2 linked regions of the Callithrix jacchus genome follow. The protein of the gene in region 2 interacts with the protein of the main gene of each other region in a pairwise test. Links are inferred from orthologs where the notes say so. Each region holds a gene or a part of one and is shown on either strand. Other genes may lie near its edges.

Evidence for each region.
Region 1: the proteins of TLE5 (region 2) and OLIG3 interact in binary tests that used the Homo sapiens proteins (3 or more experiments, as listed by UniProt). The two-hybrid records come from large-scale screens. The link is inferred for Callithrix jacchus from reciprocal best matches to the Homo sapiens genes TLE5 and OLIG3.

Annotation. Positions count from the first base shown.
Region 1 is NC_133505.1:144,278,473-144,282,217, forward strand, and holds the start of OLIG3 (oligodendrocyte transcription factor 3), read right to left. Parts: upstream 2,168-3,745; 5' UTR 1,947-2,167; coding exon 1,128-1,946; 3' UTR 1-1,127. UniProt on the Homo sapiens protein: May determine the distinct specification program of class A neurons in the dorsal part of the spinal cord and suppress specification of class B neurons.
Region 2 is NC_133523.1:2,836,740-2,840,484, forward strand, and holds the start of TLE5 (TLE family member 5), read right to left. Parts: upstream 2,545-3,745; coding exon 2,518-2,544; exon of another isoform or gene 2,517-2,517; intron 1,676-2,516; coding exon 1,578-1,675; intron 1-1,577. Other genes in the region: uncharacterized protein LOC128930549, read left to right, coding at 2,543-3,358. UniProt on the Homo sapiens protein: Transcriptional corepressor. Acts as a dominant repressor towards other family members. Inhibits NF-kappa-B-regulated gene expression. May be required for the initiation and maintenance of the differentiated state.

The DNA of each region.
Region 1 (3,745 bases), on a different chromosome or scaffold from region 2:
GAAACACTGGTTATCAATAAATATATCATAGTTATCAAGAATATATAAAAAATAAAGACAGGTATTGTCTTTGAGGCCCTAACAAAATATTTCAAGCAAATGTTCAGGAAAATAAAAACAGCACCCCTCCCAAAACCAGAATAAGTTTTCAAAGCTGATAATAGAGAGAGCCAACCCCGCATGCAGAATAACTGAGCGAGGGGGTGGGGCAAGCTACTAGAGGGAGCCAAGCGTTTACAATGGCGCCTCCGGAACAGCAGAGGAAGGTTCGGAATAAAGTTTGAAGGGGATGTGGGTGGGAGAAGAAGCGCGTGTGCGTGAGTGTGGGTCTTTGCACTCTGCCCCTTTTCATTTCATACAACCACAGACAGATATATGGAGTACTTGGAAGAATTCACTAATAAATCCTTGTTACAAGGAAAACGGCACCACGGCCTGCACAACATGTTTAGACAAGATTCATTTAGAAGCCTGCATGCATTCTTTTGACCTACACTGCGTCGAAAGGAAAACCCACATAGGAGGTGTCATGCCCTGGACCGGAGTTGAGATTCAAAACTTGGGTCTTGATATCTCTCTCTCTCTCTCTCTCTCTCTCTCTCTCTCTCTCTCTCTCTCTCCATTGTCTCTAGAAAAACTATGGCGAGGACAGAGACAATCATAATCGCATCCATCTCAAGAAAATATTTACATTTGTTTTGCACAAAAGGGATGGCCGTCTTTTCCCAAAGCGAGAACACAGAGTCAGAGAAAGCCAACTCAAAAGTTCCTTCGCAAGTTTTTAACTACACCGATCCCATCTTTATACAACAAATGCAGTTTTGACAAGAGCATACGGCAGTGAGAAATACTGGCGCGGCATGGGGAAAAGAAGCATGCATGCAAAACACACGACGTGTGGTTCGAGTCCCCCTTTGCTACCACCTAGAAATTGCAGTTTGGTTTTGGTCCTTTTCCCTCCGGGGTCAAGTGGAGTCTGAGATCTCTCAGACAGGGTAGGATGCCGCGGGCCCCGGAGCCCGCCCTCCCGTGGGCCGAGCGCACAGCCTCCCTCTTCCCTCCCGGCCCGGCACCGCGGCCCCTCCCGCCGCTCTCCCTCCTCCTAGGCAGCCGGGCTCGCCCGCTGCTCACTTGAGCAAGTCCTTGGACTCGGCGGACAGCCGGGCCATGTTGGCGGTGGAGAGAGCGGACAGGTGCGGCGGCGGCGGCATCTGGCAGATGGTGCAGGGGCAGGGCAGCCCGGCCCAGTGCTGGAAGCCGCTGCCCAGCTGCAGCGCGGGCGGCGTGGAGGGCGCCTTGAGCAGCGAGTGGGGAGGCCGGATGGTGCCGATGGCGGGAAGTGAGGCTGCGGACAGCGGTGACGAGGCGTTGCCGGACGAGAGCGCGCCTCCCAAGATGGGGTGCACCGGGTGCACGGCGTTGGCCGCGTGTGCGGGGTGGCCGGCAGAGTGGCTCACGGTCCCGCAGTGAAAGGCCGAGTGGTGGCCCCCGTAGATCTCGCCAACCAGCCTCTTCATCTCCTCCAGGGAGCTGGTGAGCATGAGGATGTAGTTTCTGGCGAGCAGGAGAGTGGCGATCTTGGAGAGCTTGCGCACCGAGGGCCCGTGCGCGTAGGGCATGACTTCGCGCAGTCCGTCCATGGCGAGGTTCAGGTCGTGCATCCGCTTGCGCTCGCGTCCGTTGATCTTCAGCCGCAACTGCTGTAGGTCCTGCTCCGACAGCTGCTTCTTGATTTTGTACTTGCTGCTCTCTCCCGCGGCCTTGGCGCCAGCCCGCGAGAGGCTTTCCCCGGGCATCTTCTGCACCATATCGCCCTGCGTGGACGAGACCGAGTTGAGACGGCTCTCCTGGTGGTGGTGGTGGCGGTGGTGGTGGTCCCTCAGGTACATCTCATCCATGTCCGGAGATGAAGCTCTGCTGGAGACAGAGCTCGAATCAGAATTCATTTTATTACTGGGGATGCGGCCCTACCGTGGGGAGGCTTTAGGCGGGAAATTAAAGAAAATCTTGAATTTAAAAAAAATCTGCACAGCCCAGGAACCCACTTCTCAGCGGCAAGACGTGAGAAGAAAAGCTGAGATGCTGCTTTTCCCCGCCTCTCTCCCTCCCTCGCCCCTCTCTCTGGTTAGGCTGCTTCCTGGACAGCTAGTTGGTGTGTGCTTGAACTAACCTCACGCTGAAAAAGAGGGGCTTTTATAGAGCTGTGGCGGAGAAAAGAGACAAAAGGAGCCCTCCTATCTATCCTGGGCTAGTTAGGATGACGTGCCATCATTCAGGGCGGTGCGCTTTGCTGTCCCATTTAGCAAGGATTCCTATTCATATTCATTGTGGGGCCGCCCTGGGACACCTCTGCTCCGAACCGCTAGGAGCCCCCAGGCACAAAACCCTCTGATTGACACACTCACCGCTCCAGCTCACGCCTTCCTGATTTTTTTTTTTTAACTTTCACCCCACCCCCCTTCTCAGTTTCTCTAACCTACTCACACATCGGGAACGGAAGGAAGGGAAGAGAAGGTGGCCAGGTGGTTGGTGGAGGTTCCTCTGGGTTTGGAGAGAGGGGTTGAAACATTGGCTCTCCTTCCTTTCATGGCTGCTCCCAAGTTTAGAGAAATATGGGCAAAAAGAGGTCCCAGTGGAAAGGTTTGAGGGACAGGGGTGCGATTGGAGGGCAGTGCAGCCAGTGGGGACAGGGGTGGTGGGAAGACTGCATGCGGACCTTCTGTCTCAAGATTTTTTTTTAAATTAGATCTCTTTTCCTAAACACTTCCATTCCGTCAATTTTGTTTGTTGGGCCCTTCTGGTGTGGTTTCACCGAGATGTCCATGTTTGGTGATGGCATTGCCCTGACAGTATTGTGGCTGAGAGATCTTTTATTTTCTTTGTCCTCTCTTTAGTTTTAAAACATGGATTACTGAAATAATTTCAGTTTTGCACAATTCTCTACCTTCCTAGACCAAAAATTGAGGGGAAAAAAATGTCACAAGAAAAGCAACTTGGGAGGGTGGGAAGGAAAAGGAGCCAAAGAGGCAGAGACAGATTGTTAGGACGTGCAAAGTTTCCTGAGAGAGGTTGTTCCCGCTCCATGCTTCCCGGACCTTGGCGCTGGCGGAAGACCGTGGGACAGTCCGCGCCCGAAGCTCCGCGGGGCAGCCTCTGGCTGCGGTGGGGACCTGAGTTCCGGGAACTCAGCGCTAGCCCGGCCTGCGCGGGTGGGTCCACTCGACTGGGGCCGCCGTATGGCGTTGGACCGTGAAGTCAGAAGCTCATAATAAACTATCTGATGTCGGAGGGCAGGGGTGGGCAAAGAAGCACACGGGAGGGAAACAACGAAAGTACGTAGAGAGCCCCTCGTGCATGTCTGGGCACTGAGGATCAGCGCAGAGTCGTTTCTGGGAATAAAGAGGAGGCATGGAGTTTGGAGCCTTCGGTGCGAATGCGGAGGTGGGCGTAGATCTTTCTTCCCCCTTGCTGTGTTTTTGTCGATCAAGACTTTAGCTCAGCAGCACCAGGGGTGGAAAGGCAGAAATCTCGGGAAGGGAGAGAGCCCCGGGAGTGGTTTCCTAGAACCGGGACACCGCCCCTCATCGGGCTTGAAGGAACGGGAGACAAACGCTAGCTCGGGACTGAGATTCTCGGTGGAAGTGTGAAATCGAATTAATCCCGGAACCTCGGGCTCTTGGGGGCCTCTGCGCCGCTGAGTCACTTCGAAGAACGGGAGGCCTCCGTTTCCCTTGACTCAAACCGA
Region 2 (3,745 bases):
ACAGGAGATCACTTGACCCAGGAGGCGGAGGTTGGAGTGAGCCGAGATTGCCCCTCTGCACTCCCGCCTGGGCGACAGCGTGAGACTTGATCCGGCCACCCAGGGGCTGTTATGCCTTGAACATCCAGTGTGTGCCTGATATGGCAGGGCTTTCTGGATAGCAGAAAGCCCAGGCCCAGCAGATGGAGACTCCAAAGCTCAGAGAGGGCGTCTGGCTTACTGGAGGTCACACAGCACTGCGAAGGCCATCTGATCTCTTCCCTGTGGAATCAGGTCAGCCCCAGGGCCCACCAGGCAGTCTCAAACCCTATGCTTCCAGGGACCCAAATAGAAGTTTCTGGGGCCTTCCTGGAAAGCTGGTTCCAGTGCTTTTGACTGTCGGGGTCTCAGTGTGCCCATCTTGAGAATGGGCACGACAGCCGGACCTCACGAGGAAGCACATATGGTCTTTAGCACACAGGGAGTACCCCGAAAGTTTGGATAGTTTCAAAATCGAGATTCCCCTTTCTACTTGGAGGAAGTCCAGGGTCCCTCCAGGATGGGCAAACTGCAGTCAGGAGAGGGCCCCCAGGCTGAAACGTGGGCCTCAGCGTGGCCTGACTTCCTCCAGACTCCCAGGTCTGCTGCGCCCCTCCAGAGCAGGGCACGTGGGAATCTGCATCCTTACACCAGGAGAGAGACCTGGTGCCCACCTCAGCCTTGCCCCTTCCTCAGTGCTGTGGATACTAACCCTGAGGAAATCCCTGACCTCTCTGGGCTTAAGCTTCTTTCTTTTGTTTTCTTTTTTTTTTTTTCTGAGACGGATTCTCACTCTTGTTACCCAGGCTGGAGTGCAATGGCGCGATCTCGGCTCACCGCAACCTCCGCCTCCTGGGTTCAATCAATTCTCCTGCCTCAGCCTCCCGAGTAGCTGGGATTACAGGCACGCACCACTGTGCCCAGCTAATTTTGTATTTTTAGTAGAGACGGGGTTTCACCTTGTTGACCAGGATGGGCTCGATCTCTTGACCTCGTGATCCACCCGCCTCGGCCTCCCAAAGTGCTGGGATTATAAGGGTGAGCCACCGCCCGGCCTGGGCTTACATTTCTTTAAGAGGACTCAATAGTTCCCTCGCCTTAGACCAGCTACATGGCAAACTCTTCAGAAAGGTCAGATTTCTGAAAGGAGAAGCACCTTGGAGAACGTGATGGGCGCTGGGAACCCTTTCTCCAAAACTGGCCAAAGACAGACATAACCAGGTTACAAAATGTGTTTTGGGGTTGGGGGGATGGTGAGTCCAGGCTCTAAGCTGGTTGGCGCAAGGTCTTTTATCCAGCGGGGGGTGGGGGGGGGCTTGGGGGAGACTGGGGAGGAGGGAGGGACTCTGAAGTCACACAGGTGGGTCTTTGGGCAAATTATTTAACTTTTTTGTGCCTCGGTTTCCTCCTCTACAAACTGGGGCTGTTTAAAGAAAGGAATTCAGTATTTGTCAAGCGATTCGGTCGGAGCCTAGCACACGTTATTTTCCCAATCTGCCGTCCGTGCAGAACAAGGGGGCTCACCCTCTCGGGCGCAGGGACCCCGACCCGCCCCTCACCTGTGGTACTGAGCTTGCAGGAGCTGAAACTCGTCTTTGATGCGGTCGCAGGAGTCCGAGGTGGTGAATTTGAGTTGCTGGGGTAGGTGCGAGGAGCCCTGTGGGGAGGGGGGCGCCCCGGTCAGGCCCAGGCGTGGGCCAGGCCCCCCTCAAGGGCGGGCCAGGAGGGAGCGGCCGCGCAGCTGCGGCGCCCCCCCTCCTGCCCCACTTCCTGGGCCCGTGTTTACCGCCCCTGGCAAGGCCCCCACCCGCGCTTCCTGCCCCCGCCTCTCCCCGGGGGAAGCTGAGGGGGTGGGTGCGCCCGGAGCCGCCCCGTCCCCCGCCACCCCCAGGCAGTGGGGGGTGCGTTTTAAGGCCCGCCCTAGGTGGGGGGCAGGGTACGCCCTCTACCGCCCCTCCAAAGCGCCGGGAGTGGGTGCCTCCGAGGGGGGTGGAAACGCGCCCTAGGGAGCCCCCTCCCCAAGTTGAGGGGCAGCGAGTCCCCCCTGCAAAGTCCCCTTGGGGAAGGGGGTCTCTCTCGGCGCCCTAAATCTTCCGGGGGGGAGCCCACCCCAGAATCCCAGCGCCCTTCCTCGGGGACGCGCTCTCTTCCGGGAGGGGGGACGCCTCGGATTGTCCCCCCCACCACAGGCCCCCAAAGGAGCCCCGCGCTGGAGGTGCCTGGCGGGGCTCCCGGAGATCCCCAGGCCCGAGGCCAAGGCCGTCCGAGGCCCTGCCTGTCCCGGCGGGCGGGGGGGGGGGCGCCAAGCCGGGAGCTGGGGGGGGGTTCGGGGCCCGGAAGCTGGGGGAGAATCGGGAACTGAGGGGGTGTCCGGGGGTCGGCGGCAGGACGGGGGTCGCGCGGGGCTCGGAGCCCGAGAGGGAAGCCAGGGCCCGGGAGCTGGGGGGGCGCGGGGCGGGGGCGCGGGGAGGGGGCGCCGGGCGGGCGGGCCCCGCTTACCGAATGCCTGCTTTGTGGAAACATCATGTCAGTCGCGGCGGGGGGCGCGGGCTGCGCCCCGGCTGTGCGCCCCGGCTCGGGCTGCTCGGGGCGCCGGGCGGCCGCGCCTTTGTCCCGGCGCGGATCGGCAGCTCCCGGGGCCGCCGCCGCCGCCTCCCGCGCCCGGCCTCGCCCGCTTCCTGCGCCCCCTCCCCGCGCGCCCGGCCCCGGCGCGCCCCGGGCCCCGCTTCCTGCGCGCCCGGCGCCCCTCCCCGCCCCTCCCCGCCGCCCGCCTCCCCGCTCCCCGGCCCCACCGCTATTGTCTAATGGCGGCGACGCCGGCGGTGGCCGCGGCTCGGCTGCTGCGGAGGCTCCGGCTCCACCTGCCGCCGCCGCCCGTGCCCCGTGCGCGCCGCCGAGGGGGGGGACGCGCGCGCCCGGGGAGGCCTGCGGATCCCCACCCCGGCCCGCCTCCCCGGGGCCCGCCCGCCGCGGTGACCTTGGGCCCGGCGCGCCCCCGCCCCGGGCCGCGGCCCCCGCCACCCGCCCCAGCCTGGCGGCCGGCCTGGCCTCGGTTTCCCCATCTGTCAGAGAAAGGGACCCGGCTGCCCAGGTCGAAGCCGCCGGCCCTGCGGTGGCACGACCTGGACGCGTGCCAGGGACGTATTCTGTGACCTTGGCTCTGGCTGGGCGGTGGTTCTCGCCGGGCCTCAGTTTCCTCTTCTGCAGAAAGGCAGCGGTCATGCCGCCTTCCTCAGGGAAGCCATTCTTTGGACACCTTTATGGAGGGCCTGTGTGCCAGGCCCGGCTGCTCCAGGGCCCTGGGGTGGGTGGGGGGGGTACAAGGCCCCTGCCCTGGTGAGGTGCCTGGAGACAGACAGAGATAAATTCAGGAGCTGAATTCCCAGCAGGTCAGATGGTGGGGACGCCTCTGCGGGGAAAATCGGCTGGGACAATGGCGGGGTAGGAAGGTGCAAGGTTGAACAGAGGGCAGGGAGGGTCAGAGAGGGCTTCCTCCTCCACAAACGGACCCCAAGGAGCGAGAACAGGGGATGGGGGCAGTGCCAGTCAGAGGCAGGACGAGCAGGTGCAAAGGCCCTGGGGCAGGACTGTGCCTGGCACCAGGATGCCCGGGATGGAGGCAGGGCCTGGGCCTGGGGCTTCATGCTGTTGCCCAGGCCCCCTGCCCCCAGCAGGGCTTCTGCCTGGGTGAATCTTTACTGCTGCGTTTTGAAATTCCGAATCATTT